Linked DNA regions of Struthio camelus. The protein of the gene in region 1 purifies or fractionates together with the protein of each later gene. This does not show direct contact. Links are inferred from orthologs where the notes say so. Each region holds a gene or a part of one and is shown in the gene's direction. Other genes may lie near its edges. The genes, in order: CDK5, CABLES2, TMEM94 and C2CD5.

The links.
Region 2: the proteins of CDK5 (region 1) and CABLES2 purify together in Homo sapiens (affinity purification with mass spectrometry; 6 studies listed by BioGRID and IntAct, with this or other methods). This does not show direct contact. The link is inferred for Struthio camelus from reciprocal best matches to the Homo sapiens genes CDK5 and CABLES2.
Region 3: the proteins of CDK5 (region 1) and TMEM94 purify together in Homo sapiens (affinity purification with mass spectrometry; 5 studies listed by BioGRID and IntAct, with this or other methods). This does not show direct contact. The link is inferred for Struthio camelus from reciprocal best matches to the Homo sapiens genes CDK5 and TMEM94.
Region 4: the proteins of CDK5 (region 1) and C2CD5 purify together in Homo sapiens (affinity purification with mass spectrometry; 6 studies listed by BioGRID and IntAct, counting the BioPlex papers as one, with this or other methods). This does not show direct contact. The link is inferred for Struthio camelus from reciprocal best matches to the Homo sapiens genes CDK5 and C2CD5.

Annotation. Positions count from the first base shown.
Region 1 is NC_090943.1:498,378-505,793, forward strand, and holds the start of CDK5 (cyclin-dependent kinase 5), read left to right. Parts: upstream 1-4,402; 5' UTR 4,403-4,485; coding exon 4,486-4,522; intron 4,523-4,622; coding exon 4,623-4,711; intron 4,712-4,800; coding exon 4,801-4,868; intron 4,869-4,972; coding exon 4,973-5,033; intron 5,034-5,133; coding exon 5,134-5,190; intron 5,191-5,348; coding exon 5,349-5,444; intron 5,445-5,719; coding exon 5,720-5,794; intron 5,795-6,379; coding exon 6,380-6,476; intron 6,477-6,576; coding exon 6,577-6,646; intron 6,647-6,910; coding exon 6,911-6,971; intron 6,972-7,049; coding exon 7,050-7,130; intron 7,131-7,250; exon of another isoform or gene 7,251-7,386; intron 7,387-7,416. UniProt on the Homo sapiens protein: Proline-directed serine/threonine-protein kinase essential for neuronal cell cycle arrest and differentiation and may be involved in apoptotic cell death in neuronal diseases by triggering abortive cell cycle re-entry. Interacts with D1 and D3-type G1 cyclins.
Region 2 is NC_090959.1:15,662,163-15,669,053, reverse strand, and holds the start of CABLES2 (CDK5 and ABL1 enzyme substrate 2), read left to right. Parts: upstream 1-3,889; coding exon 3,890-4,422; intron 4,423-6,891. UniProt on the Homo sapiens protein: Unknown. Probably involved in G1-S cell cycle transition.
Region 3 is NC_090960.1:8,344,450-8,352,407, forward strand, and holds the start of TMEM94 (endoplasmic reticulum magnesium-transporting P-type ATPase), read left to right. Parts: upstream 1-4,940; 5' UTR 4,941-5,100; coding exon 5,101-5,154; intron 5,155-7,958. UniProt on the Homo sapiens protein: Could function in the uptake of Mg(2+) from the cytosol into the endoplasmic reticulum and regulate intracellular Mg(2+) homeostasis.
Region 4 is NC_090942.1:75,529,802-75,536,819, forward strand, and holds the start of C2CD5 (C2 domain-containing protein 5), read left to right. Parts: upstream 1-4,007; 5' UTR 4,008-4,009; coding exon 4,010-4,204; intron 4,205-7,018. UniProt on the Homo sapiens protein: Required for insulin-stimulated glucose transport and glucose transporter SLC2A4/GLUT4 translocation from intracellular glucose storage vesicle (GSV) to the plasma membrane (PM) in adipocytes.

The DNA of each region.
Region 1 (7,416 bases):
CCAGCGCCACGCAGTCGGGCAGCGCGCCTGGCCCATGCGGCGATCGGCTCCCCTCTAATGACAGGGCTGCGTCCCAGAGCCCCGCGGGGCTGCGCCGGGGCCACGGCCAGGCTCATTATCCCCGCGGCTCAGCCTGGGAATCCCGGCCAGGACGCGGCTCCCAGGGTCCCCTCCCTTCCGCTGGCCGGCAGCGTCCCCCGGGGGGATAGCTGGGCCCGGCACCCACGCGCAGGGCTGGACCCACCGTCTGCGCTCGAACCCAGGCTCGCTGTGGAGCGTTGGGGACGGCCACCAGCCTGCCCTGGACTGGCTCCAGGGACGCGTACAGCCTCTCCCTGTCCCTTCTCCGCACGGGACGGCACGGGACGGCAGACACGGCTCACTCCCTCACAGTGCTGGTCAGCAGGCGCACGAGGCTCAGTCCCTTCTCCCTGCCCTGGTCCGGGATTCACGTGGCCGGCGCAGCATCACCCCACGGTGGTGAGCTGTGCTGTGCACACAGTGCTGAGAGGAGCTGCTGCCTCCGCTCGGGGCTGCGCACGGAGACCGGGACGCAGCTTCGGTCGGGACGCTCCCACCAACGTGGCACACTCGGAATAGCATCCCTCAGCACAACAGTCAGAGAGCGCGCGGCGGGACAGGACCTGTCAGGTACAGGCAGGAGAGCAACACGCAGCAGAGAGAAAGGGCCTGGGCGGTTTGAAACCTCCTCCCTCGAAACCCGACTTGCGCCTCCAGCACCACACAGCTCTCACGGAGCCGCTGGAGCCCTCTGAGCACTAATGTCCCTGCCCGCGCTGCCAGCCCAGTGCTGCGGAGCCTGGGGGCACCCCTCTGCCGGGAGCCCCCTGCATCGCTCCCGGCTCCAGCCGCACACCGTGAGCAGACCCTGCGGGGGGACAGGCACCGCAGGGCAGCACTGCTGGCAGCAGCGCTGGCCCCTGACACCGCCTGCGCCTCCCGACCCGGCTCTGACGCGAAGGACCTGCGTAGCTCCTGTCGGGGACACGCAGAGCTCTGCTTGCAGGTCCTGCCCCAGCGCCCAGGGCAAGAGGCACTGACAGCACCCAGGCAGAGAGGGCAAGGAGCGGGGGGCTGCCCACCCCAGCGCAGCACGGCCATGCGCCACTGCTCCGGACCGCCCAGCACCGCTGCCCTCACCAGGCACGACCCAACGTGGCGGTCTGTCTGCCCCCGGCCCTGCCCGCAGGTGACTCTGTCTCCTTAATGGGATCAACACGCCGCTCTCACGTGCGCAGCGGAGCCCGCAGGAGGAACTCGGCGTCCGGCACCAACCTGCGGCGCTGGGGAGCGCAGGACAGAGCCCCACGCTGCCGACAACCCGGGTCAGCCTGGCCGAGGGGTTCAGAGCCAGCCCTGGCCCCTGCTCTGCCTTCGCCCCCACGGCAGCCAGCAGAACGGCCCAGCTCCTGCTGGCCAGAACAGCCGGACGGGCCGCACAGCCCACCAGGGCTGGGCAGTGCGCTGGGTGTCAGGACGGGGAGCCGCCCCCACGGCGTGCTGCGGGGAGCAGGAGCGGCCCCATCGGCACCGAGGGGCCGGAAGAGCCACCTGCAGGGAGGCCGCCGGCTGCCAGGAGGGTTGTTAGGGCAATGAAATCCCCGTGCTCGTGGCAGCCGCTTGAAGTGGTGCAGCGACCCTGAAGGGCATGCGAGCAGGGCTGGGCACCCTGCCGCCTGACGGGCACGGGGCTGATTGTCCTGACAGGCGCAGGAACCCCGCGGCCGGTGCGCACCGCGGCCGCCGACAGCCCAGGGGCTGCAAGGGGGAACCGGCCTGTGGGGCAGCACAGACCCCCCACAGCCCGGGCACCAGACGGGGCCCCTGCCACCACCAAGCGTCCGTCACGAGCCCGCCGGAGCAGTCCTGCTCTCGCATCAGAGTGGAAACTAAAACAGGGCCCAACCCTCCCTGCCCGCATCCCCAGCGCCGCTGACGGCCCCGTGCCAAACAGCCCAGCAGGACACAACAGTCCCACGGAGATGGTCACCACCGGGAGCCTCCCACTTCCCACCTCGCCGATGTAACCACACAGTATGTGCCCTGGGATCAGCGTCCAAGACAGCGGGAACCCACATCAGCGCCTTAATGAGAAGGCGTAATTGGGCTGGACCCGCGCCCGGCATTGCTCAACCCTTGCAGCATTACGCACACGGGCAGCACCGCTCACCACCCAGGACGGGGCATCGCGGCTCTCGGGCGAGCACCTCGCTCGGCCTGGTGCTACCCCTCGCAACCGTCTCCACACTGTGATCCGAGACAGCCCGGGGGGGAAGCCGGGAGGCTGCAGGGGGGCAGGGACTGGCAGAGCCGCGGGACGCTCCGCAGAGCCCCGGGCGGCTGTGAAGCCGAGAGCCGGCCGCGCTGCCGGACGGCTGTGTCCCGCCAGGTGCTCGGGGTGGCCCGCGCGGGGGTCCTGTCCCGGCCTCGCCCCACGCACAGGGGGCCTGTCCCAGCCTCGCCCCACGCTCTCACCTGTCCAGGGACTCCGGTCGGGCTCAGACGTGGCAAAGGGAGGGCGTCGAGCTGCCTCGGGCCATGCCACAGTCACTGGAAAACACGGCAACAACAAGGGTTTAACTGCTGCAGCGGAGAGATCTCTGCTCTTCTGCCTCCGGCGGAGATCTCGGGAAACCCCTCCACCCCTGAAGAGGAGGCAAACCCCAGCGAGGAAACGCTGCGGGGCGGCGCAGACGCACGGGGGTCTTTCCCCGGCAGCTCGCCTCTCCTGGCAGGGGCACCGTGCGGCGACGGGGTGCGCGACGCCGTGAAGAGCCGCAGACACCCGTCACCGGCCGGCCTCGGTCCCCCTCGCTGCTGCCTCCGAATCCCGAGCCCCCCCCAGGGCCCCCTCGCTGCTCCTCCCCCGGGGACCCCTCCCTCGCTCCTCCCCAGGGCCCCCTCGCTGCTCCCCCCCCGGGACCCCTCCCTCGCTCCCCCCAGGGGCTCCTCACTCTCCCACCCCCAGGGCCCCCTCGCTGCTCCCCCCCAGCCCCAAGCCCCCGCCCGGGACGCCCCTCGCTCCCCCCCTCGAGGCTCCGAGCCCCCCCCCCCGGGACCCCCACGCCGTCCCCGCGGTGTCCCTCGCTCCCCCCGCCCGCCCGAGCCGGCAGGGCAGGGCCGCGCCTGGGCGGGCAGAGCGGAGGGTCCCGGGGCAGCAGCGGGCGAGGGGCACCCGCGCTGCCGGCACCCCGCGCCACCGGGCCGGGCCGGGCCGGGCCGGGCCGGGTGCCCGCGCCGCGGCCGCAGCGGGATGCGGGGTCGCTCCCCCCCACCCCCCGCGCCGGGCGCCGCCGCCGCCGCTCACCGGAGAGCCCCGCCGCGCCCGCGGGTGTGCGCGCGACGCGCGGGGGCGGCACCGGGCGGCACCGGGCGGCCACCGGCCCCCGCCCCGCCCCACCCCGCCCCGCCCGCCGTCATCGCTGCGGAGCCGGGCGGGAACCGACACCGACACCGACACCGCCCCCGGCCCCGGCCCGGGCTGCCCGGGCACCGCTCCTCCCCAGAGCGGACGGGCCCGACCCCGCCTCGGGCTGCCCCGCGGCCGGCGGCGGGACTCGAACCCGCGGCACACCGGGAGGTGCGGGGGCCGCCGGGAGCCGCAGTGCGCGCGGGGCCTGTCGGGATCCGTAGTGCGCGCGGGGCCTGTCGGGAGCCGCGGTGCGCGCCGGGGCCGCCGGGAGCCGTAGTCCGCGCGGGGCCTGTCGGGAGCCGTAGTCCGCGCGGGGCCTGTCGGGAGCCGTAGTCCGCGCGGGGCCTGTCGGGAGCCGTAGTGCGCGCGGAGCCTGTCGGGAGCCGCGGTGCGCGCGGGGGCGGCCGGGAGCCGTAGTTCGCGCCGGGGCCTGTCGGGAGCCGTAGTGCGCGCGGAGCCTGTCGGGAGCCGTAGTGAGCGCGGGGCCTGTCGGGAGCCGTAGTGCGCGCGGGGCCTGTCGGGATCCGTAGTGCGCGCGGGGCCTGTCGGGATCCGTAGTGCGCGCGGGGCCTGTCGGGAGCCGCGGTGCGCGCCGGGGCCGCCGGGAGCCGCAGTGCGCGCGGGGCCTGTCGGGAGCCGTAGTGCGCGCGGGGCCTGTCGGGAGCCGTAGTGCGCGCGGGGCCTGTCGGGAGCCGTAGTGCGCGCGGGGCCTGTCGGGAGCCGCGGTGCGCGCGGGGGCGGCCGGGAGCCGTAGTTCGCGCCGGGGGCCGCCGGGATCCATCGTGCGCGCGGGGCCTGTCGGGAGCCGTAGTGCGCGCGGAGCCTGTCGGGAGCCGTAGTGAGCGCGGGGCCTGTCGGGAGCCGTAGTGAGCGCGGGGCCTGTCGGGAGCCGTAGTCCGCGCTGGGGGCTGTCGGGATCCGTAGTGCGCGCAGGGCCTGTCGGGAGCCGCGGTGCGCGCGGGGGCCGCCGGGAGACGGCGCGGCGGCTGCCGGGAGGGGCGGCCCGCGGCGGGGAGGCGCAGTCCGGCGGGCCCGGTGCGGAGCGCGGCGCCATGCAGAAATACGAGAAGCTGGAGAAGATCGGGGAAGGTGCGGGGCCGGGGGAGCGGGCGGGCGGCGGGGGCTCGGCCCGGGCCCGGGGCGGCGGGGGCTCGGGGCGGCGCCACGCCAGTGACCCGGCTGCCCGCAGGCACCTACGGGACGGTGTTCAAGGCCAAGAACCGGGAGACGCACGAGATCGTGGCGCTGAAGCGGGTGCGGCTGGACGACGACGACGAGGTGAGGGGCGGGGGCGGGGGCGCGGCGGCGGCGGGGGCTGAGCGGCGCCCCCGGCCCCCCTCGGCTCGGCTCTGCTCTCCTCTGCCCAGGGCGTGCCCAGCTCGGCGCTGCGCGAGATCTGCCTCCTCAAGGAGCTCAAGCACAAGAACATCGTCAGGCAAGGACGGCGCCGGCACCGCGGCCCCCCTTCCCCTGGCAGCGCGCTCCCGGCCGGCTGGCGGCGGCGGGCGCCGGGTCACAGGGCTCCCCTCCCTCTTCCAGGCTCCACGACGTCTTGCACAGCGACAAGAAGCTGACGCTGGTGTTCGAGTTCTGTGACCAGGTGAGCCGGCCGGGAGCGCCGAGGCCAGCGCCTGCCAGCGCGGCCCGCAGCGCCGCCTCTCCGCTGAGCTCTCACGCGGACGTTGCTTTCGCCTTCCTAGGACCTGAAGAAGTACTTCGATAGCTGCAACGGGGACTTGGATCCAGAGATCGTCAAGGTGTGTTTCGGCGGGAGGCTCTGGGAAGCCCTTGGGAGAGAATGATGCTTTCCCTGTGCTAGCTGCCACATTTAGGACTATCGAGCTCTTTACGCAAGTCAGACTGGGGCGTTGCACGGGCTGACGAGTCCTGCTCCGGTCTGTGGTCTCTTCTGCAGTCTTTCATGTACCAGCTCTTGAAGGGGCTTGCTTTCTGCCACAGCCGCAACGTCTTGCACAGAGACCTCAAGCCCCAGAACCTTCTCATTAACAGAGTGAGTGACTGGGTCAGGGGTGGGGGTAAGGGGAGCGAATCACAGTACGGGCTGCACGCTTGGGCACGAGACGTCCTGGCTGAACCGAGGAGGACGTTTCACCGGGGGAGCATGTGGCTCTCGGGAGATTGCACTTCTGTCTTGTTCTGTGTTATCTTTTTGGTCAGTGAAAAAGGAAGAGGGGTCTGGAACAGTAGCTGCTGCAGACTCCAAGGCATGCAGCAGGGACTGAGCGTCTCCTATGAAGCCCTGCTGATGCTGTCTTTTCACTGCAGAATGGGGAACTCAAACTGGCGGACTTTGGCTTGGCCCGGGCCTTTGGCATCCCTGTGCGCTGTTACTCAGCAGAGGTGAGTTGGGAGCTCTGTGGGATTTTCATTGTAGGCTTTTACCTCCAGGAGCATTTCATAGCCCCCACCTCTCTGAGCAGCTCCCCTGTTGCTTGCAGCGCAGCGTCATCCTTGGGGCTGTGTTGGCTGAATGGTCAACACTGCTTCGCTGCTCCTCTAGTGCAACTTCCCCTCTTCCTCGCAGTGTGGTGCTCCTCGTGCTGTCCTTGGGCCTGCTCTGCCTTTCTCTGGTAGTCCAAGCTCTAGGAGACTTGCTCTTCTTGCGCTAGCTGTTGGGCTACGTGCCTGGGCAGCTTGGGTAGTGTTTTTCCTGCGCTAGCTACTACACCTAGGACTATCAGGAGCTCATTACAAGAACCAAACTGTGGCGTTGCACAGGCTGAGGCATCGCGCTCAGGTCTGCGCTCTCATTTACAGGCTTTCACGTACCGGCTGCTGAAGGGACTTGCTTTCTGTTACAGAAAGCTTTCTGCTTTCTTTGCCGTCTAGCTTTTGCTGGACTCGAGGGCTGATAGGGCTGGCGCGTGTGGAAGCACCCGCAGATCAATGGGGAAACGCAGTCCTCGTCTCTGTGCCTCTGTGTAGGTCGTCACTCTGTGGTATCGGCCGCCAGATGTGCTCTTCGGCGCCAAGCTCTACTCCACTTCCATAGACATGTGGTCAGCTGGCTGCATCTTTGCAGGTAGCTGGGCCAGGCTTTTCCTGTTGCGGGGGGTTCTGTCCCGCAAGGGGAATAGGGCTGTAGGGCCTCCAGGGCTTATCCTGTCTCTCTCCTTTCCTAGAGCTGGCTAATGCTGGGCGGCCGCTGTTCCCGGGGAATGACGTAGACGACCAGCTGAAAAGGATTTTCCGATATCCTTTTGGTGCTGCGGTTGGGGTTGTAGTGGGAGAAAGGGGCCGCCTAATTCTCCTGCGCATGGCTGCAGGAGGAGAACTGATAGGATTACGTGTGCTCGCCCGGGAGCGCAGGTCTCTCTGGCTGGGGCTAGAAGGACTCCTGCAGGTGTGGGAACTGGGCGTTCTGCTCTCGTGGCTGGAGCAGAGGTTGCTTCCTTTGGCTGAAGAGGCTCCAAGGAGCAGGCTAGAGAGGTGGCCCTTGACTGCTTCTGTCCCTACGCTGCTGGGAACCCCCACAGAGGAGCAGTGGCCAGCGATGGCCAAGCTGCCAGACTACAAGGTGAGCCGCAGGTGGCGGTGGAAGGAGGGGACAGCGTGGCAGGCCCAGCACCCAGGGCTCATGTCTGTCTCTCCCCAGCCGTACCCCATGTACCCTGCCACGACGTCTCTGGTGAACGTGGTACCTAAGCTGAACGCGACTGGCCGGGACCTGCTGCAGGTGAGCGTTCTCTCTTGTCCGTCACTGCTCTCTGTGCAGGTGGCTGGGCAACGATTTCAGAGGAGGGAGAAGGATTCTTGACTTCTTAAAGTGGTTGACGTCTCTCCCCGTGGTCTCTAGACTGCCTCGTATCCAGCGTCGCTGCTGTGCCGTTTGTAGGGTACGAGCAGCCGATCCTCCCTTCTCCCTGCTGACGTGGATGGGGGAGCTGTGAGGCCAGGCCGCTCTGGGAACCCCAGTGCCCACGGAGGGAAAGGTTGCCGTGTCTCTCCAACCCACAGGCTCC
Region 2 (6,891 bases), on another chromosome or scaffold:
CCTCAGCTGGGACTGCTCTGCAGGCTCCAATGACAGAAGTGCTGATGGCTGAGATTTATGGATGCAAGGAGTGTTGTTGTACCCACAGGAAACCAGAGGATATTTCCACAACGGCTGAGAGAAATATTTCAGGTTTTTTACCAAGCTCCTGCGTGTTTGGGCTTTGGGACAAAAGCAGCATTTTTCTTTCCATTTCCCCTTTCCTGAGACAGATGGCAAAAGAAGAGAGGAGCTGGCAAGAAAAGATACCTGAGTGTGATATATATAACAATGCTGAACTAGAAAAGGCCTGTTGGATCACCAGGTCCACACTACACTTTTAAGTGGAAAAACTTGTACAGAAATTTCTCACACTTCATCTTAATACTAGCAGTTCCTCCAACTGGAACACTGTTCCTCTGATTCCCAGCCTAAATATATTCATGACCTGTTTATCTTTGCTTGGTTTTGGGCCATGATTTTGCAAAATTTTAACACCCAGCCCACATAGGCAGTTTAAATGCTGTCTCATTTCAGATGCTTAGACCAAATCCTGCAGTTCTTGAATGTAGAAAACTCGCAGTGACTTCGGTAACTATATTCCCCTCACCATGTTGGAATAAAGGCTTGCAGGTTTGGTCCCCTCCCTATCAGCTCCTTATTCTGGCAACCCTTTGACTGTTCAAACATATATCCATGCTGTTCCGTGCTTACTTTATGGTAGAGCTTTTAGTCCAGGAGTCAAATGAGAGGGTTAGGTGTTGGATATTCAAAAGAATGCTTTACATTTGTGCCATAATGCTGTTGTAGGTGCAAAACTGCACTGCAAAACTCCTAAATATTTATCTTGAGGGGGGATTGCAACAGTTAAGATTCAAACATGCCTCAGCCCAGAACTTGGAGCTACTGTGCAGCAGCAATGCGACAAGTCAAGCCTTTTGCCAAAATAACATCACCGTGCTATGAATTACTAGCATCTTCGATCAAAACAGAGCTCTGTCTCCCTCTTTCTCCACAATATGGTGATTCCCTCAGGGCAGGAAAAGGTCATGGAGAGAAGGTTGCTCCGGTTGCACCCCGTTACTGCCGTTGGTGGAAATGATGCTGACATGAGGCCCATCTGTTTTAGTGGCAGATTCCTTGAAACATAGCAATATGCCTGCTATATTCATTCACTGTGAACTAGTTTGCTTGTCAAATGTAGATGAAAGCTCCCTAGCATTAAAGCGTTAACAGCAGCAACGTGCAAACCTCTGAATCCAGCTTTGAAGTTAGCAACCCACTAAGATAGCTATGGAGGCTGGCTTCTTTCTGCTTCATCCTGTGCTGACTCAGTGGGACAATTTACATCCTACAGCTGTTTTGTCAAGGAAAGAATGAAAAAATACCATTTATTTTTTAATTCAAATCCTGGGTTCTGGAAAACCCTCTGGAGAAAGCCTCGCTAAGTTTCCATGCCCATTTATCCCATGGCTTCTTTGATGAGCTTGCCAGCAAGAAGGATTTTAATTCCTTTTTATCCCAAATCATTTTTTCTGCAGATGATAGGATGATCCTGCCAAATAATCAAAATATGACCTGTATTGAGTATCACAATACACTGAGGATATCTGTGGGATTTTAAGGGGACTGTTATACTGCACTACATTGTTTTAATAGCTTTTTAAGTGAAAGCCTACAGAAAACAGTCTTATGTTTCCTATCCTATTGTTATTATTATTATTAAATGCTACAAATACTATAACACAAGTGTTTATGTCCTACTTAGAACAGCATGCAAAAAAATGGATCTTATGAAACAGCCATATAAAAAGACTTAGCAACTGCACGATGTTCTGTAAGACATTTTGAAAATCCACTTGTTATTTAGTGCCCACATTTCAGGTCATGTCGTCAGACGTCGGTTGGATTCCTGGTGTAAACTGCAAACAATTGCAGTCGCTGTCATGTTGCTTCTTTAAAAAACGGAATCTTAATAGGCAAAAGAAGTGGCCATTGTAAGGGTCCAGTGCTGCAAATGCACTAGCACCTGCTTAACTGTAAACATCTCATTAGCCCCTTTTTAATGGCAAATTTGGTTTGGTGTGCTTGTGTCTACAGGCAAAATCCACCTAGAGTACCTAAGGTAGGAAGCGCTGAGAGTTTGTAAGGCCCATTTTTGTTCCTAAAGAGTACAGAAGCTGTGAGTTTCCTGCCACACGTTCACAGCACCCACAGCCCGATGCTCAAAGCACGGAGGCTTCTTCACCCCTAGCGAAGCTCTCCGACCCCCTCCACGAGGCCCAGTCGCACGGATGCTCCCACCCATGTCCTTAGAGCGCAGAGGAGAGACGGCACCGTTTTCTGGTTTGGCAAGCGGTCAGAGCGTCGCCCTGGGATGTGGGAGCCGGTTCAAGTGCCTGAGGGGGGTGTTTACACTGTGCGGTATAAACATCTGAGTCTGAGAAGCGGCACGCTGTGTAGATACGCCTTGAGTCACTTTTTTGGAGATAATGCTAAGTTTATGTTCTCCCAGATCCCCACTGAGTCTTCTCCGGGTCCGCCTTTTCCGTATGCAGCCCACATTTAGCCCTGTGCTCTGTCTGCTCTCCTTCAGCGAGTAGGACACCCGGAGATCTAGCGCTCTGTGCCGTTTTTGGGTGCTGCCGGTGAGTCTCAGCGTAGTCCACAGGTAGCCGCACTCCCAGAGCCGGCGGGCTGGTGTTGAAACCCAGCCCCACCATCGAACTGGGAGCTGCCCGCGGGGTTGCAGCGGGAGGTCGGGTCCCAGGCTCCCAGACTGGGATAAGAATAACTGCCCTTATCTGGTTTTACGGAAGTTGTCTGACGTGCACAAATGCGTGCTGATCACTTTAGGGGACGTGTCTACCCTGCTGGCAGGAAGGCTGAGACCCTGGGAACACGAGACCGCTGGTGTCTGTTGTGTGGGGACGCGGTGGGTGTTTGTGAGGGGGCACACGGGTGAGTGTGTGTGAGGGGAGGCAGGTGAGTGTGTGTGAGGGGAGGCAGGTGAGTGTTTGTGAGGGGACGCGGTGGGTGTTGTGAAGGGATGTGGTGGGTGTTTGTGAGGGGATGTGGTGGGTGTTTGTGAGGGGACGCAGTGGGTGTTTGTGAGGAGACACGGTAGGTGTTCGTGAGGGGACGCAGATGGGTGTTTGTGAGGGGATGCGGGTGAGTGTTTGTGAAGGGACACAGTGGGTGTTTGTGAGGAGACACGGGAGGTGTTCGTGAGGGGACGCAGATGGGTGTTTGTGAGGGGATGCGGGTGAGTGTTTGTGAAGGGACACAGTGGGTGTTTGTGAGGAGACACGGGAGGTGTTCGTGAGGGGACGCGGATGGGTGTTTGTGAGGGGATGCGGGTGAGTGTTTGTAAAGGGAAGCAGTGGGTGTTTGTGTGGAGACACGGTAGGTGTTTGTGAGGGGACGCGGATGGGTGTTTGTGAGGGGACGCGGGTAAGTGTTCGTGAGGGGACGCGGTAGGTGCTTGCGAGGCGACACAGGTGGACGTTTGAGAGGGGACGCGGGTGCGTGGCGGCGGTAGGGGCACACGTAAGGGAGGAAGGGGCTGTCTGCGTGACTGTCCCGGGGAGAGGGACAGACCAGGTGCGTGACCGGAGGGGGACAGCCGGGAACGGGTGCCCGGCCTGCCCGCTGGTGGCACCACAGAGCTGCGCGGCGCCGATGCAGGCGCGGCGCCTCCGCCGGCTCTAGGACCCCGCCGAGCTCCGCCGGCCGGCGAGGCGGGGGCGGGACTACCCATGAGGAGCAGCCGAACCAATGAGCGCCGGGCCGCGGCCTGGCTCATTTGCATCCCGGCGCGCCGCGGCCAATGAGCGGGCGGGCAGCCGGCCGCGCCGCGCTGCGCGCCACCCCGCCCGGGCGGCCGAGGCCGTCGCGGCTCATTCGGAGAATGGCCGCGGCCACGGCGTGCGGCTCGCCGCCCAGCCGGCCGCCCCGCGAGCAGCCGCCGCCGCCGCGGAAGCGGGGCGACTCCCGGCGGCGCCAGGCCGCTCTCTTCTTCCTCAACAACATCTCCCTGGACGGCCGCCCGCCCTGCCTGGCCGCCGAGAAGCCGCCGCCCCCCGCCGCGGGCCCGGGCGAGGGAGAGGAGGCGGCGGCGGAGCCGGCCGGCGCTCTGCCGCGCCTCCTGTCGCCGCCGCCGCCGTCCTGCCAGCCGCCGCGGGCCCCCCACGCGCCCCCGCCGGCGCTGCTGCTGCCCGGCGCCCCCCTCGCCGCCGCGGGAACCAAGGGCGAGGCGGAGCCGCCCCGCGGGGGCATCTTCCTGCCCCAGCTGCTGCTGGGCGGCCAGCTCTGCCCGCCGCCCCCGGCGCCGCCCGCCCCGCCGGGGATGCCGGTGGCCGCCAAGCCGGGCGCGCCGGGGCTGCTGAGCCCCACGCCGAGCGCCGCGGGCGGCGGCTTCGCGCTGGAGGTGCAGCGGCAGAGGTGAGTGAGGGGCTGGGGGCTCGGCTCCTCCCCGCGGGCTGGAAACGGGCCGGCCCTCCCGCCGCCCGGCCGCGCCGGGGCCGCCTCCTCCTCCTCTTCCTCTTCCTCCTCCCCCCCCCCCCCCCCGCGGGCAGAGGCGCCGTGACCCGCCGTCCCCCCGCCGCGGCGGGGCGTGGGACGCGCCGGAGCCCTGGGAAGAGCCGGACTTTCCCAGGGCCCGGGGACACCGGGCATGGGAAACCGCCGCCCCTAGGGGCGGCCGGCCGTGGGAGACGGGGGCTCTCGCTCGCTCGCTCCCCCTGCCGCCGGCCGGCCTCTTCCCTCGCCGCGCTGCCGTGCGCCGCCCCCCGCGGAGCCGCGGCGGCGGAGCCCGGCGCCGGGCGAGCACCTGCCGGCGGCGGGGATGGGGCAGCGCTGCCGCGGGCTTCGTCGCCGCGGACGCGCTGCCTCTGCCCTGAGCGCCGCCAGCCGCCGGGGCTGCCTTTGTTTACATCCCGCCTCTGCCCTGCCTTTCCGCCGGGTGCGCCGATGCTGCAAGGGGGCTTCTTGCAGCGCTGCTTTCCTCCTCCCTTAGCTGCCCTGACGGTCGCGGTGGCTGCGCTGAAAGTGCCGCATATGTTGCTTAGCTATTTGTCTGGTTGCCTGAGCGAATGCCCAAAGTTGGGCAAGTGTCTGGTGATGGGGATTTGCAGAATATTTGGGCAGCTTAGTCTCCAGCTGGGGTTCTGCAGTAACCCAAATCCTTCATGCTTTGTGCTTTTTCAAAGCCTGATCTTTGAAATTTTCTGTTTGTGGATGAAGCTAATAGAGGCGCTGTTAGATAAGCTCTTACTCCATGTAATCTGCATACTACTGAGTGCAGTACCTTCCCTTAATTTCTGCTGCTTGTTTACACAGTAGCTCTAAGAGGAATATTAATACATGCTCGTATGCTGGGATGTTTCTCAATCCTCTGCAGAGAGGGATGTTCCCCCCTTCAGAGGGAAATTATTGCTGTACAGCCAGGGGACTCTTATCAGCCTGAAAGTGTGCAGTTTCTCATCTGAAAGGCAGGATCTTGTTCCGATCTTTGGGGATTGAAGTTCTAAAGCAACTTTTGTCAGGCCTTTTCCTTGGAGAAGTAGCTTTGCAAAGTGAGCACATATGAGAGTACATATAGGCAAAAACAATATCAAAGACATCCAAGTCTGTATTCTTTATAGTGGCTTCCAGAGCTTTGTTGGTAAACTGAAATAGAGATGTCTGTCCTTTAAAGCTGAGGAGCTTTGCGCATACAGTTGATTAGTGCTCCGTTTCAGTGCACAGCCACGTAACGGATGTGTCCTGTTGATCAAGAAACTGCTACATGGCGGTTCCGGTAAATTTTAGAGGAAAGCAGGTATTTGTGAGTAAGAATGTTTTTAGGGGTTGCCCCTGCCAGGTTTCTTTCTCTTTTGAATTGTCAGGGACCACCCATTACTTTCCCTTTCATAACGGCAGGCACCTTTCTTTCCCCAATTCTTGAAGAAATTGAAAATGGGCCTCCTACTTTAATGCCCTGTATGCACAAATTACATTGTTATGTGCAGTTTGTGCAGTAAAGCCTAAAGTAACAGTGTTGCTATGACACAACTTCTTCATAGCACTCCTGCGGTCCTCAAAACCCTATTTGGTGCTCTAGGTGCTGTGCCATTCACCGTATTGTTTTAATATTGCCCATCAAGCTTTTGAGGGCAAGTTTTACAAGTATAATTACCTCTGCGTGTGACACAGATTGCTCTGTGCACAGGCATACTGAATTTTGTACAGCTGGAATTCATGCAAATTATTCACTCCTTCTCCTTTCCATGCCGAGTCAATAGGATACAAACAGAACATGTCGGAATACATACTCCTTGGATCTTCTCTTGATGTCCTTCCTGTCTCTTTCCGTGGCATCTAATTTTAGATGTTGTTATGCTCCGCTATAAAAATTCTAATCAGTCATTCTGAAAAGAATGTTAAATCAGGAGTAAATGGTAGAGAGAAGTGTGAGGAGGATCATCAGAGGAATGGAAAGGGTTTCTGCATGAGCAATAGCAAAACAGACTATGAATTTCTTTAGCTTGGAAAACAGAGGGCTGAAACATGGCGTTGCCTTCATTGTTTTATGTACCTCTAATGAAGGTGATCTGGAGTGAGAGTTCATGTTGTTTTTTTCTTTTTTTTTTGTCTTAAGGAGTTGTGGGAAGCACTCATTGCAATTGTCAGGCAGAAGAGGCACATCTTTTTTTGTACCTGCCTGATTAAGTTGTCGGACTCGTTGTTGCAGGAGCCCGAGAAGTGTAAATGGCTTAATAAAGGGACTAGACCAATGAATGGATCACAGGTCTCTCAGATGTTGTTTGACCCTGTGTCTTATTGAATCCTCCTCCTTCTGGCAAAAGGGATAGTTTTACACTGCCTGTGAGGATGCATTAAAAAACTCTCCCAAAGTATTTACTACCAGTC
Region 3 (7,958 bases), on another chromosome or scaffold:
ATGTCAGTTAACCTAGGCAATGAGTTTGGGAAATTAATTTTGACTTGATGAATTTACACACAGCTTGGCTTGTCAGGGTCTCAAAATTATTGCGCCTGAGAACTGTTTAAATGAACTGAGTTCCTTGTGGGTAAACGCTCACATTTCAGTTAGCACCTTTTACAGGGAATCACAGTGGAGGTGGGGGGCTGAATGGCTCCTAGAAAGAGAACTCCCATCCCTAGAATGAGTCCTTTGCAGGCTAGGATTGAGGCACCCTCATGGAACAACATAGAAGTATATTCTGTCATTGTATGCTATATCTTTTGAGGATAAAGGTAGGGCTTCACTCCCCTGGACACTTAGCTTGTCTTTACTTGAGAGGCTGAATTAATGAGAAGATTTTTAAAATAAAATATAAAATAAAATAATAAAATCCTCTGAGTCCTGTTTTTCTGATGATCAACATATGTATTTCTTGGGCAATTGTATGCCTTTCCAGGGAATGCTGCAGGATATCATTTGTAGAAAGTGCAAGATAAGGCTGTATATTGTGTGGAGGGGCAATCTGTCTCTTGCTACCCTGCTGTGCTTTCAGCTTCAAAGGAGAAAAGCGAGAGATCTTCATTAATAGCTGCAATAGGAGCTAGAAAGAACATATCTGCTGTGGTTCGCAGGAGACTATTAACCTGATACATGTTACTGCTTCCCAAAAGTAAAATCCAGAATGATTTTGATCGCTTAGGATCGCTAACTGGCTACTTACTTTTTAGCTATATTCAGTAGCCACCTAAATATTAAATGTATTTGTCACTCAAAAAAGTGAACTGGTACATGCCTTATTCTGGATCCCAGTCAGAAATGAGAGAGGTAGCTTGAGACCAGTGGAGAAGATTGTACAGGCCAAGTTCTCAGGTGGCTCTGGTAGGAGAACATTCATGGCTTTGCCTCTTTTCCTGTCTCTCTCTTCACCACCCTGCTAAACTTTGTATGCTAGATTACATGTTTGCTGTCTTTCTGTTCTGCCTGCATCCTTTTCTTGTTGTTTTGTTTACAGTGCTTCCAGCATCAAGAGGTGGTTTTGTTCGTTAGTGCAAAGTACCTGTTAGATAGCCACCTAGATGTAGACCTGCTCTATAATACTAATACAGCAGTGAAAGCGATTTAGGAGCTGCTCAAAGTTTCACGTCAGCTGTTGCACTTGCCTGCTGGAGTTCTTATTTGCTGGAATGGCTGTTCCGTAGCGTGCGAGACCAGGAAGGCTTGGGCTTACTCATGCCTGAAACTCTCACCACTGGTATGCTCTGAGGACATGTTTGAACTTTGTCGTTTTATGTACAATTGCTGTATGACTGTGGAGGTGACATTCCAATGAAGATAATTATCTATTTATTCTGTTGTTAATAGCATCTTGGGCTAATCTGGTATTGATCATTTTAAGAGATGAAGCAATTACCATTCTGTGCAGAGGTGTGTTTTGAATGGGATCTGGGAGCTCCAGCACAGGCATTGCTGCAGCGGATTATGGGGAATCATAGTTTTCTGAAGTCCTAGGCTCCTCTCCTGGCTTAGTGAAGTTTTAATTCAAATGAAAGCAAAAAGTCACTGCATTCTTTTCAATAGCAAAAAAAAAAAAAAAACACTGATGCACATTGATGCATTTTACCGTTTACTTTGTTTGGATTCTGAGAAAAGATCCTGGTTTCATACTTGTTAGCAGTATGTGGTTTGATGTTGGTTAGTGAGCTTGGTCCTCTTTTTTTTTTTCAACACTGCAGAACCACGTTTCATCGCCTTTAAAGTGGAATCTGTCTTCCTTTCCAAAGTGAAGAACCTGGATGCCTATATGTTGATAAAGGAACCAATTAATCTGCTGTGGTAACTTCAATGATAAATCCGATGTGCTAGGTTTATTTTAAAATGCTAAAAATCAGATGAACCCCCACTGAAAATACCAGTCTGGAATCTAATTGACAGCAATCTCTTTACCCTAGTATATGCATGTGATGAAGAGTTAGATCTTCTGGAACACAAGATGCGCTCTGAGCACAACCGTAGCACAGACATCTGACACTCAGAAGGATGAGAGATTTGTCCTCTGGCTCCAGTCAGCTAATACAGTTCCGTTGTCAGAAACAACTGAGGATCAGAGTTTGTCAGGTGTAGTGCAGGGTTTCTTCCAATTTTTGCAAGAAACTATAGACACTGCAGAGACAGGCAGAGAGTATCTTAGGAGCAGTGCCAAAACCTTGTTAAATTAAAGGTGCTACTGTCTTGCTCTTTTGCCCACTTCTCCTGACTTGTTAATTTTCTGTGTATTTTTGAAATGAACTTAATATTGTGAAAGGTACCAGAATCTCTGCTCCAAGATCTGCAAAGCATATACCAAGGTAGACAGCTTCACTGATTGCCACAGGGCAACGTGAGACTCCTGAGTTTGAGTTACTTTAGATATAGGCTGTATTTGAAGCAACTCCATCTATTAAAAATTATTGGCATAATCTATACCACAATTACTGTAGCAGCTGAGCTGTATTATCCTAGTGAAATTGGTGCAGCCTGGATAGAGCACTGTGCCTCATGGTCGGAGCCTGGAAATGTACTCGCGGGAGCCTGTGCTGTACTCTGCGCAGCACTAGTGTTGTTGGTCCTCAGCTATCTAGTTCTAGCATGTCTAACGAGCTGCAGTCCTGCCTTTGGACTGAAAAGTAGCTAAATCTTCTGCCTCTTCTTGTCTTGCCAGTAACTGTATCTCTGTTTTTTATTCCTTGCCATGCAGCTTCTCTAAAACTTCAGCTCTTCTTCCAAGGGCTTTTCACACACTAATCCTTCTTCCACAAGCTTCTCTCTTCTGTGCTGCAATTTCTGTATGGGTCTCAGCCCCTTCCCTTGCCTTTGTACTCTGCCTTTCGCTCGAACCCACAGTTTTATCTTCAGACCTCAAGATTCTAGCTCTGCTCTTTCAAATGCAGAAATGCACAGCCAGATGCAATTTATGATACCAACTGTTATCAGAAGGAAGTTACACAGCACAAATGATTGCCCTACCCAAAACATTTTAGAGCAAGGTCTCTAGAGGGTGGGGTAAACAGGAAGAGGTGATTTGGTCCATTTCCATTTGTGTTCATTACCAAAGCTGGAGTTCCAGAGCCAGGAGAAAGTTGTGTTGGGACTCCTTCACCACATGAAGCGCAGGGGTTGTTCCTAGACTTGCACAGTGATCACTCCGTTTTTCTATTCACAGTCATTTGAGTTTCCAGAAGGTATTTACACTGAGCCGTAGGAAACAGTCCAGCAAGCACTGAGATAAGAAGAGGTTGATTCACATATGTTGTGTGAAGATTTGCACATTCTAACCCCATCTCGGTGGTATTGGTCCTTTTTTTTTGTTTTTCCTTTTTTTTTTATATGTGTTGAAATGGGTAGGTGACTTTAGTTTCTTAGTAGGAAAAGAGGAGGGAAGGAAAAATTGTACCCTTAGGACACCTTGTTCCTCTCTGCAGTTTGAAATTGTTGTCTAGGAAATAAAATGCCCTACAGAAAGATGAAGGATATCTTCATCCCTCTTTCTCCCTCTGCTCTCTCACTAGCTCTCTCCTAAAGTGACGCTAAAGGCACTGTTTCCCTTTAACTTTGGCTTTAAAGTAACCTGCGAAACTACATACCAATGTGTAACTCAGTGCCAGCACAGCGATGAGAACTCGTTCTTTCAGGGGTTGTCTTGGATCTACCGTACTTTGGGGTTATTGTAAATATTGGGACCTCTGATGTCTGCATTTCTGGCTTTAAATGCAGCATATGGGCTGTGTCAGTTTAGCCATCTGAATCTCAGGGAAGGAAAGGAAATGAAAAGCTTGGCCAGGGACAGTGGGTGAGTACTGAGATCTTCACATAGTCCTCCAAGCTACATTAAATGCTGGCTCTGGAAGTCTTTGCAGTGTGTGTCTGTTCCTTTTTATACAGGCTGCTGGGTCCTTGGCAAGCTATTGACGTGTTTCTTGTCTGGGTCAGTTCTTCATCCTTTTATATATGGTATGAAAGCAATTGTTTTAATGATTGCTTTGCAGAACTGGGAGGACCCAGACAGAATCAGGACAGCACTGAAGTAGGAGCTATATAAAAGCCACTTTTATAAAGACACTGTGCTTTCCTTTAACAACAAGAGGGAAGCGTTCCCGTAAAAGATGAGAACGAGAGAGAAGAAAAATTCCTTCTTCACTTCTGAATACCCATTATTCCATTTCGTGTCCTTTCGTTCCATCTCTGCTCAGAGGTTCCCTGTGTGCGCTAATCCTTTACCTTCTCTGTGCCACTGCCCAGGTGTCAGTGAGCCCCAGATATGGCACATGGCTATGAATAATCTGCATGCACCTTGTTTTAGCTTGTGTGGCTCAGGATGTATGAACATTTGATGCTGAGAGGGGCTTTTGCTGCTTTCTCCATCAAGAAGGGAAGAGGGAGGGAATGCTTCAGACTGGACCTGTAGCCGTCTCAAATCATTTAAATAAGTTTTTTTTTTTTTTTTTTTTGAAATTGAGCTTGGAGCTCCAAAGCTGTGGAGTCATCTGGATAACTCTCCTATATTTGTGTAAGGGGGTTAGGATTCCTGGATCTCTTTATCTTTATCTAGTCCTTTTTCCTGGGCCTGCTCAGGTGTTCCTTCTCTGGTAGTATATTTTATAGCACTTTGTCCTGTCTAATTTGCCATCTGCTTTTCCACAGACCCTGTCTGTCAGCATCATCCGTTGCTGTGCGTGCATATGCATCTCTACAGGCAGGGAACCCACGGATTCTGGCTGTGCTGGCTCCATCTTGTGAATGGACCATTCCTGCAGGCAGCTGGTGCTATCCTGTGCAAACTTTCTTCTCTCTTTCCCTTTTTTTTTTTCCTTGCTATCCCTCATCCCTCCCCCATCCACCGCCTCCTTGCTGGATCTGCAGCATGACTGGAAACAGGCTGAATTAATCAGCAGACTGGTGCTTCACTCTGCTGCTTCTGTCTCGTTCTCTGCAGCGCTGGGCTCTGCACAGTCTGGCTCGCTCTCCCTCTTTTGCTCTCTCATTTCTGGAGGGCAGCAGCAGTGGAAGTTGCTGTGGAAGTGGTGCAGGAATTTAGCCCAGATGCTCTTTAAGCAGGCCGATCTCTGGATCCCCCACCAAGGCAAATGCCGCAAAGTAAGTTTCTCTCCCTTAGCATTTAAATTCAAAATGGCTTTCCCTCTTTCCTTCCCCAACCTCCATCCTGCCTGATGTGATGGTGCATGAAGGGCTTTGAGGTTCTGGGGAAAGAGATTATGTCAGGAAATGAAGCAGGGAATGATAATTTTAGCTAGGGATGTCTTGGTCTTGGAGGGGGTGGGGAAAGAAGCTCTGTATTAAACTATAGATTTAATTCGAAAACGAAGTGGAGGGGCCAAACATGATCTTAGCTACTGACTCCTGTTTTGCTGCCTCTCTGCTTCGGGTCTCAAGTTTATCCGTTTCTTGTACGTGCTTTGATCTGTAGATGTTGAACCTCCTTACCCCTTGAAATATCTTACAGTGCACCTTCTAGGCTGTGTCACAGTTTTAGTTCCCAAAGTCTTCAGATAAACAAATAGGGGGCAGGAGGTGAAAGATGTGCTGAAGTTCCCTGGATTTCTGAGCATTGCTGGCCTCAGGAGGAGATTAACATCCTCTGGAGTCAGCTCTGCACTGGCATAAAGCATTGTACTTTATGTTGAAGCCAGAATAAATATGGACCCCCTCCCCCCCGACTGCTTTCTGAACTTGGGGAAATACTGCAACTAGATAAATTATGGTAATTAAAGCTTGATAATTGCATAGCACAGGTGAGCTTCAAAGCACTGCATAAACACTGCCTCATCCTGCCAGCATCCTGGTGGGGCACGTAACTATGGTTGGGGATTTGCCTGCTGCAAGGAGGACCAAAGAGACAGACCCGGGAAGGTGCAGTTCACAACTGGGCTGTTACCTGGGGAGCAGGCTCCTCTCTCTCTGCTGTTGAACTGCCACTAGCTGAGCAAGGAAGAAAGCACCGAGCTTTGCGTTAGCCATGTGAAATGGTTGATCGTGGCTGTTGGCATCTAACACTGTGCTTTAGAGAGGGCATAAAATTTGAATGTCACTGTCTGGATTAAAATGGACTCTGTTCACACCAAAATGCAGTGCTGATTCAGATGGCTGATTAGTGCTGCTCTGGCCAGATCTCGCAGAGATCCTTGCTACCGCTGCTGTGCCTCTTTGCAGTGTAAGTCTGCAGGCCCTGTTAGTGATGAATGGCAGGGAGCCTCGATGTCCGCTTCCACACCGGAGCCCCCGCAGGCCCCCCGTTACCGAGCTGTGGGAGCTCTTTTGTCCACGGACCGGGGGAGGTCTGGGCTGACTTTCATACGGTGGCTACAGATGGAGGAAGGAGACAGTTGTTGACTGTCGCTCTGTCCATTAATTTGGGCACTGCTGTGCTGAAGGCTTTGCTTGTTTCATTTGATTTGAGACCACCCACAGCTAAATGGTGGTTGCCAAGCTTGTGTCAGGTGGCATTTAAACCAGGTTTAAAAGCTGCGTTGGTTGTGCTCTCTGGAGCCTTTCCTTGCGTGTCCAGTTTTGAAGGCAGTGGTCCCCACAGAGCTGCGATGTGCTTGACAGAGCTACCTGAATCATGCAGATAATCATGTATTTCTTTTTTCTGTGCTTTCCAGTAGCGTTCAGGTGGGTTGGTGAATATTATAATCTTCACAATGCTTCAGCTGGTAGGGAGGTGGTATTCCCATTAAAGAGGTGAGAAACTAAGGCACAGAGGAGTCTGCAATTTTCCCACTGTCATAGAGAAATCTGTGGCAGAAGCAAGAGCAGAATTTGGGTGTCCTGACAGTTAGTCCGGAGTCTTAAACAATTCTTTATTGAATGGGGAGTGTGAATGTGTGAGGGGGGAGGTTTCACGCAGTCTAGGTCACTGGACAAGCGCTGTTGCTAAGAGTCAGGCATCAAACCTCCTTTCAACAGTAACCGGGTAAGCACCCAGAAGGACAACAAATACAATTTGTGTAGGTAGTAATGGGAAACTTGCCCAGAATGGCCTATCCATTGGCTTTGCCTGCTATGTCTCTATAATTTTGTACAACGGGTATTCGATTGCAGGCAGTCTGAGCATTAACTCAGCAGCTGTGGTCGGACAGAGCTCTAGCACGCTGAAGTATGATTTGTTTTAGAAGAGAAATAAACCCCTTCCTAGCACTAGCTTGCAGTAAGAAATGTTGCTCCAAGAAACTGCATGCTGTGGTGTCTGATGTCTGCCATCCTCTCTGACGGGAACAAAAAAAAGCTGTGGGTCATATTGTGCCTTATCTTATGCAAGAATCTGACTTGCAGTACTGAATGCAAATACAGTTACTTCTTCTCATGTGTTTTTGAAACTGTGAATAATGCCTATATTTCAGAAGGTCTAATCCCTGAAATAGATTAATAGCCTGCAGAATATCATTGGCAAATTAAAAACTACCTTCTTGTTTCTGCTAGAGGAATGCAAAATAGCTCTCAGAAAAAGGAAGAACGTTCTGCTGCCCTGTTTCTCTCCTCCAACTATTTAAATCTGAAAAGCAATTGAATCAAAGTGTTAAAAAGGGCGGGGGGGGGGGGGGGAGTCTAATGTGTGCAGCCTGGAACGAAGGAAATGATCTGACAGCTGCCTAGTAGGGGCTCTCCATACCTCTGAATCAGATAAATGGAATCGCAGTCTATGCAAATTAAAGCTTCTAGCAAATCTTCTGTTTTCTGTTCCCTTATTTACTTAAACAATCTTTTAAAGGCAGTTGTATTAAATTGCACGGCACTCTTGGTGAGGAGCCCTTACTCTGCAAGAGACTGAATCCGCAGAGGACAGAGGATATCTACCACTTTACTGGACTGAATCTACTTACATGTCTATAGAAGCAGTGGGGAAGGTGAATTTTATAAGTATATATCTGTGCTGCAGTATT
Region 4 (7,018 bases), on another chromosome or scaffold:
AGCTTCACTGGAACACTGGTTACAGTTTAGGGTACTACACTTCAAGAAAAACTGTGGCCTGTTCAGAGAGTCTTCAGAAGAAAGGAAGATGATGTTTAGAGACGTCAATAAAGATTGATGAAGAAAGACTGGAAACATTCAAGTTACTGATTTTAAACATGTAAAAAAAGAGTTAGATGATAAATCCTTTAATATATAAAAAGTTATTGCAGGAGTAAAAGTTGAAAGGGAACAATTATTCATTCTCTCTTATAATACAAAAGATAGGCGTCCACAAATGAAATTAGTTAAGTTCAAAATAAAGAGATAAACTTGCCCAAAACAAGTAGCTAACCTGTAGATCTTATTGGCCCTGGATACTGTGGATTTTTTTTTTAAGCTTAACTAAAAGTGTATGTACCAGTTATTACCAGTTTAATCCAGTAAGGCTCTTCTAAAGTGATAATCTGTTTTTCAGGTTCAGTAGATAAGACAAAGGGAAAAAAAGATTTGTATTTTATCACAAAAGATTCAGTTTAAACAGTAGGGAAACCTTTTGAATAAGTTTGAGAATAATAAGCATTGAAGTGAATTGCCTGGGAAGATTAAGAATCAGGCTCTTTAAGAATCAGGAGTGATACAGGTTTATGGAAACCTGCCTGGAAGAGCTTACTGTGCTGGATGTTCTCTTGAAAGCTTCCCTTTCTGCAAGCATCTGGCACAATAATACCTGAATTGTCCACAGACTGCCCCAAATTGTAGCTATCTCATTTAACAAAGCAGTATATTCAGTCAGGTATTCATTGTATTAACTGGCCATTAGTCAGTCATGCTGTCTGATGCTTGGAGAACAAGAGAGCTCCATTCTTTTTGTTCAGTGTTGTAGAACTTGTCCCAGTAGAAGGAAAGACAACAAGAAGAGAAGAGCTAATTCTAAAAAGACATACAAACTTAGATTTAAGGTTCCTTTAAGATTTTTCAATTAAATGTGAGTAACAAAATAGAATTTATCGGAGACAAGGGTTTAGCATAATTTACAAGAATCTGTTTTATGTGCACAGAGGACTAGCACATGTATTACTGGTATCAAAAGTTCCAAATAGTCAGCCTTTTTTTTACAAGTATATATAGCAAACCTCTTCTTCTGTATTATTTTGAAACAATTCAAACTGTATTACAGCAAGAACGCTGTGACTGCTCAAAATGGCATGGCTCTCCAACATTTTCACAGAAGTAAAGGGACAGGAGTTGGGGATGCTGGGGCCAGCTTGTTACTCAGCATTTACCATCAGCCAGCCAGTTGAATATGTATTCCACACAGGGACCATGCTGACATGTGGGACCCAGCTGAAGTGTATATATTGTACTGAGTTCTCTCTATGTGACCACATATGAGTTTTCTCTTACTGCTGGGTAACATTCCATAAGCAGCATCTGATGCGACAGAGAAAGGCACACAGAAGACACGTCTAACTCTCCACCCTTGGCTGTGATCTAACATCAAAAGCTTACTCTGGCTCGAGGAATCCATGCCTGACTAGAAGGGTCTAGGAAGACCCTGGCATCACAAACATGTTTCCACTTGTGATTCCTTTGTAGTGGTCTGCTGTGATGTTGTGTGCTCATGGTGGCCTTGGGAAGACACAAATCCTGTCAGTGACCCAGCTGGGAATACGTTCACAGCAAAGACCTGGAACTCCATGAAGCCTGTGATGTTAGGCCACTCATGGGTAAACAGTCTCCACCACAATCATGCCTGCTACAGACTTGTCTCCTCTTCACTGGTAGGTACAGGGAGGCCTCCAAAAGCAACACTGCTGCCCAGAACAGGCTAGACAGATACTCAGTGTTGAATAGTAGTTCACCTGGAAAAGAGCCCTGAAGACAGCACTCTCCCTTTAAAGCTTCTGGATTCAATGCTAGTCATGCAGGTATACGGTGTAATTTTATCTGACAGACAGATTATACCTGGTCCCTGCATAGTTCCCTGAGCCACAGACCTCTTTACGACTGGTATGGTGCGGGTAGCGAAAAAGTTTATACCCTAATACAACGCCACAAACCTGTGCTGGTTAAATAAGCTGTTAGCAGGAGTCTTTCCCTCCACTCTCAGCTCGATCAATGAATAACAACTTGCTTAGCCTCATTTTGGAAAACAAAGTGGCATCAGCAGCGAGCCTGAGATGGTACCAAGCATGAAGGTGAAAAACAGATGAATGGTGTGAGCAAGCAATGCGGATATGAGCCATTTGTACCTCCTGAGTGATGGCACAGAAACCACTGCTTGGTGCGTAACTTCCTTAAAGTGTAGACAGCAGTGGGGAATATTGTATATCTTAACACATAGTTGTATGTGTGTATCCTTACATGTTTATAATATACAAGATACTTCCCCTTTTCCATCTCAAAGCACTAAAAACTTGCTTTCTTTCAAATTAAAGCAAAAATTTTAATGTATTCACACCTCTTCATACGCTGAAACAAAAAATATGCTACATATCACAAGACATATAGCAAAAATCATAGCAACTGCAGTTTCCTAAAATGCTTTATTATAATTTAGTTAGCAAGAGAAGCAAAGTGGATGTTTTGCCATATAAGGAACATATGTCACAGTTTGCTTGTTCGTCCTTGTGTTTAGTCAAGAACTGACTTTACTCTCCCTACATCTTGGGGCATAAAGTAACATACCATCAGATAACAAAGGCCAAACAATGCAACAGAGAACATTTTCTTGTCATCACAACCGTCTGCTGGCAACTTTCTATTTTAATAGGGAAATTAAGACACAACTGGCTATGTTAGCAAGTAATGTAGTTGATTAATGGCAGATCTTTAGGGTGAAAGGGAGCTGAGGGCCCTGCATCCACACAGTCAACACACATTTCAGGAGATTTCATTTCAGACTAGCTTAGTTTCCTGCCATGGACTGAATGTCCTTGGGCAGCCGGAATGTATCAGGTGTGTTGTTAGAGCATATTTTTCAGTTCAATCATACTCAAAAGGAATATCCAGTTCATATGCTCTGAGACTGCTCCACGACATGAACCAAAGTCTATTAAGTAGGTGAGATCAGCAGATTCTAACACAGGAATTGCTAACACAGGAATTACTAATTAGCAATATAGTCCCTGGCTTTGATTCCCTCCCTGGATCTTTAGGCTTTATTGCTCCATCCTGTCTTAGAAATAGCCTTATTCCATTACTCCACTCCAGGATGGATGAGGAAGAAATATGCATCTAGCCTGTTTATAGTTTGCGCAGGTATGATGGGCAACCCCCCGCCCCCTGCTTTTTGTCTGGTTTAAATCCTTTGCAGGAATCTCCCATGGGGCACTCAGAGATGCCCGCCTGTGGCGCACCCAGGACCGACCGGAGCTCCCTTCTCCTCTCCACACTGCCTCACCCACCCCACAGGAGCAACGGACGCCAGCTAACCCCGCCGCCGCCGCGGCCTGCTCCCCCGGGCGCCGCTCGCAGGCCGCCTTGGCCCGGCGCCCCGGTGCCAGACCGGGGCCCCGCTTCCGACAGATAGCCGGCAGCGCGGCCTGAGGGCGCCGAGGAGACCGGCCCCCGGTGGCGGACGCACCGGCCCCGGAAGGCGGCGGGCAGAAGGCGGGAAGTGCGCCCGCGCCCACGGCAGCCCCGCCAATCGATGATTCGGCACTCAAGCACCTTGACTTTCCTTCCGCAGGACCGCCGCGGTGCCAGCGCAGAACCCATCGAGGAGTCGACGTTCGACTCCCAGCTGGGTCTCCGTGCCCCCGGCGCCATTTTGACACGAGGTGGGGCGACACCGGTGCCGGAGACGGTACGGCGCCGCGGCACCCTGTGGCCGCTGGGCGCGGGGGAAGGCGGCTGGCGCCTACCTCGCCGCTCCCTAGGCGCGCTTGGGCCGCCCGTTTGCAGTAGCCACCCGGTAAGTAGCGCATGCGCCCGAAGGCTGTTCCCTCCCCGCCGGGTTGCGTCACGCCGCGCGTGCCCCGCGGCCGTTGGCCAGGCAGCGGCGGACCGTTGCTCGGCGCGGCGCATGCGCGTCCTCGCTCCCCCCGCCCCCGCCGCTCCATGGGACACCCGCTGTTGTTTTCTCCTGGCAGCCGGCGGGAGGCGGCGGCGGCGGAGGAGGAGAAAGAAGATGCCGGGGAAGCTGAAGGTCAAAATCGTGGCAGGGCGCCATTTGCCAGTGATGGATCGCGCCAGCGACTTGACCGACGCCTTTGTGGAGGTTTGCGAGAGGGAGGGGCGCTGTGCCGTGCCGTGCCCCGCGGGAGGGCGTGCCGCCGCCGCCTCCGGCCCCGCGCACCTGCCGCGCTGAGCCCGCGCAGGGGCGGGCGGAGGCCGCGCACCTGCTGGCGGCCCGGCCCGGCCCGGCCCGGCCCGATGCGCGGGGCGCCCCCCGCTGGCTGGCCGCGCTGAGGTGACGGATGCTGGCCCGGTCACGTACCTGCTTGCTGGGGCTGCGTGGGACGCGCTGCGGTTGCCCGCTGCCGTGAGCAGGCCCTTTCTGGGACGCGTTTCGTGCCTCCTTGATGCTACCTATAAGTTTACTGTTGGTTGCATCTCTTTTGGTTGGGGGCGGGGGGGAGGGTAGGCCAGCCCTGCCAGTGCTACCTGGACTATCGTGCCCACTGTTGCTCTGGTCTGGAAAGCGATTGCAGAAATGTCAAGGAACTCCCTGAGTCTGTGTCTGCTGATGTATGTTTTTTAAGCTGTTTCTGGTACAGTTGTGTGTGACTTTTAGCTAAGAGCTGTAGAGAATCAGAATAGTGTTTTAGAAATACTGCCTTTCTTTTCTTTTTTCTTTTTTCTTTTTTTTTAAAGCCTCTCTCTGATGAAGATTGTTAGTGGACAGGTCTTGCTGATGTACCAGGCAAATGGAATCTATTTCAGGATTCCGTAGCTGCATTATAAACAGAATGGAGAAGTTGTAAAAAACATGTTTAAGTCACTTGTATCTCTCAATATATGAAGTGCAAATGTGGTTGTACAGGCTTCACTTTCAAGGCCAATATTCATATCTTTATTTAAAATATTAAAAATTTTTGAAAGACAGTTCTTGTTGAGGACAAATACTTAATTGCATGTTTAAATCATGTTGTTGTACTGGAAGTATCTTGTGTTAACCAATCTGTATGTAGTTAACAGGCAATATATAAGGAATTTCTCAACAAGGGATTGTAAAATAAATTGACATGATCCTCCTGTTTTATGATTCAATATTTCCACTATAAATAACTTAGAACAATTTAAATAGACTTCCATAGATTCAGATATCATACTTTCAGAAAAAAACAAGGATATTTAAAAATGGGATACTACAGCAAGCCTGTACTGCAAAAAGTAATTGACTTTAGCATAATACTGGAATTAAGGTAGGAAAATATAATGTCTTTCTATAACTATGTAATTTGAAAAGTCTGTAAATATTAATCTGAGAATAGATTTTGGGCATGTAAGTCCTAACTTAGTTTGTTGCTTAAAATTTGGTTAACGTCAGACACTAAGTGCATTACTTAGTGGGATGATAAGTAAGTAATAAAGAAAAAATGAGTTTTTGACATGCTCTTTAATGGAGCTGAAATAGTCTCTAATTATTCTGTTGTGTTAAATAAGTAACAGCGATTTAACTTTGTATTTCAGTGTTTAGTTTCAAATATTTCAGTAGGTTTAATTTATAAATAGTTTCTCTTGTAATTTTAAATTTGGTTAAAAGGCAGCCTAGAACAACTCTGCTGTGTGGTACTAGGAGACAGGGAAAAAAGGGTATAGGAGATACTCTGATGAGTTTCATTCAGCTTGTTGTTTATGCTGTATTGAGCAAAACATGTCTCTGTCCTCCATTTGGCCGCTTTTTCCCAACCCTGCACCATCTATGACAGCCTTACAGTGTGAGTAGCTGTGTAGCAAAGGGATCAGGAAATTCATCTGCTTAAGCACTAACTTAGCGGGAAAAAAAAGTTATTTTTCAGCAGGATCAATTTGCTTATCTGGTTTACTGAGCAGCTTCATGAATGTTCTGGCACAAATAAGGCAGAAGAAATACGTAGATGGGGCCTTGCTTTTAGGACCATTACTTGCAACAAATATTCAGAGGGTGGGGACCTCCCTTTCCACATGGGGAGTAGGTGAGGCAGCAGGTGAGATTTATGTCCAAATAGACTGATCTTGAAACTGTTTTTTTTTTTTTTTTTGTAATATGTGTATGGTTGCTGAAAAACTTGACTTCTGCTTTTAATCTTTAGCTTTTTTCAGCGACAATACCATGTAATGTTAAGGTACTGGTTGACTACTAACCTTTAATTTCTTCCTTAGATATTTTAATTTTAATCTAGAATTAAAAAAGGAGGAAAGAATTTGGAGCTCTTACTTGGCTCAGGTTATGCATAATTTGGATTTTGCCAGCAGAAAATGTATGATTTAGAGCAATTTAGCACCAGTTTGTCTGCAACTGTGCTTCTAAATTTCAACAGCAGACTGCAGTGTAGTGAAAGATTACCTATATTATTTTTAGTGGACTAGCTTGACTGCTGGAGAAGTTTAATTGTAACTGCCTAGGGCTCCAAGGGATCTAATTTACTCTGCTAGATAGCATGCAAAATTAGTTTGGGTGGCGCTAGTGCGTGTTGGCTGTTTCCAGTGTATGAGGTAGCTCAATTAAAACTAGCATCAATATCCCTATATTATACTGCTTTGCATAGTGAATACGGTTTCTAAGTTAACAGCACAGCTACTTTCTTTATCCACATAGAGGCTGCATACAGTTTTCGATAGCTCGCTGACTTTTTCCTAACGTTGCTTAACCCTGTGTTTCCGTACCACCTTGACTTTTAACTTTAAAGATTACTTTGTAATTAGTTTCTTTTCCAAAAAGATTACTGTTCATTAAATCATATTGAAGGCCTCATTTTTATTTATTTGTTTTTGTGGTCATAATTCTATATAGAGCTCTGACAGAGGTATGGTTTTATCTGTAGTGCTCATTGTGAACTTACGACCCAGTTTTTCAACACTTGAATTTTTTTTTAATTAACTGGATGTG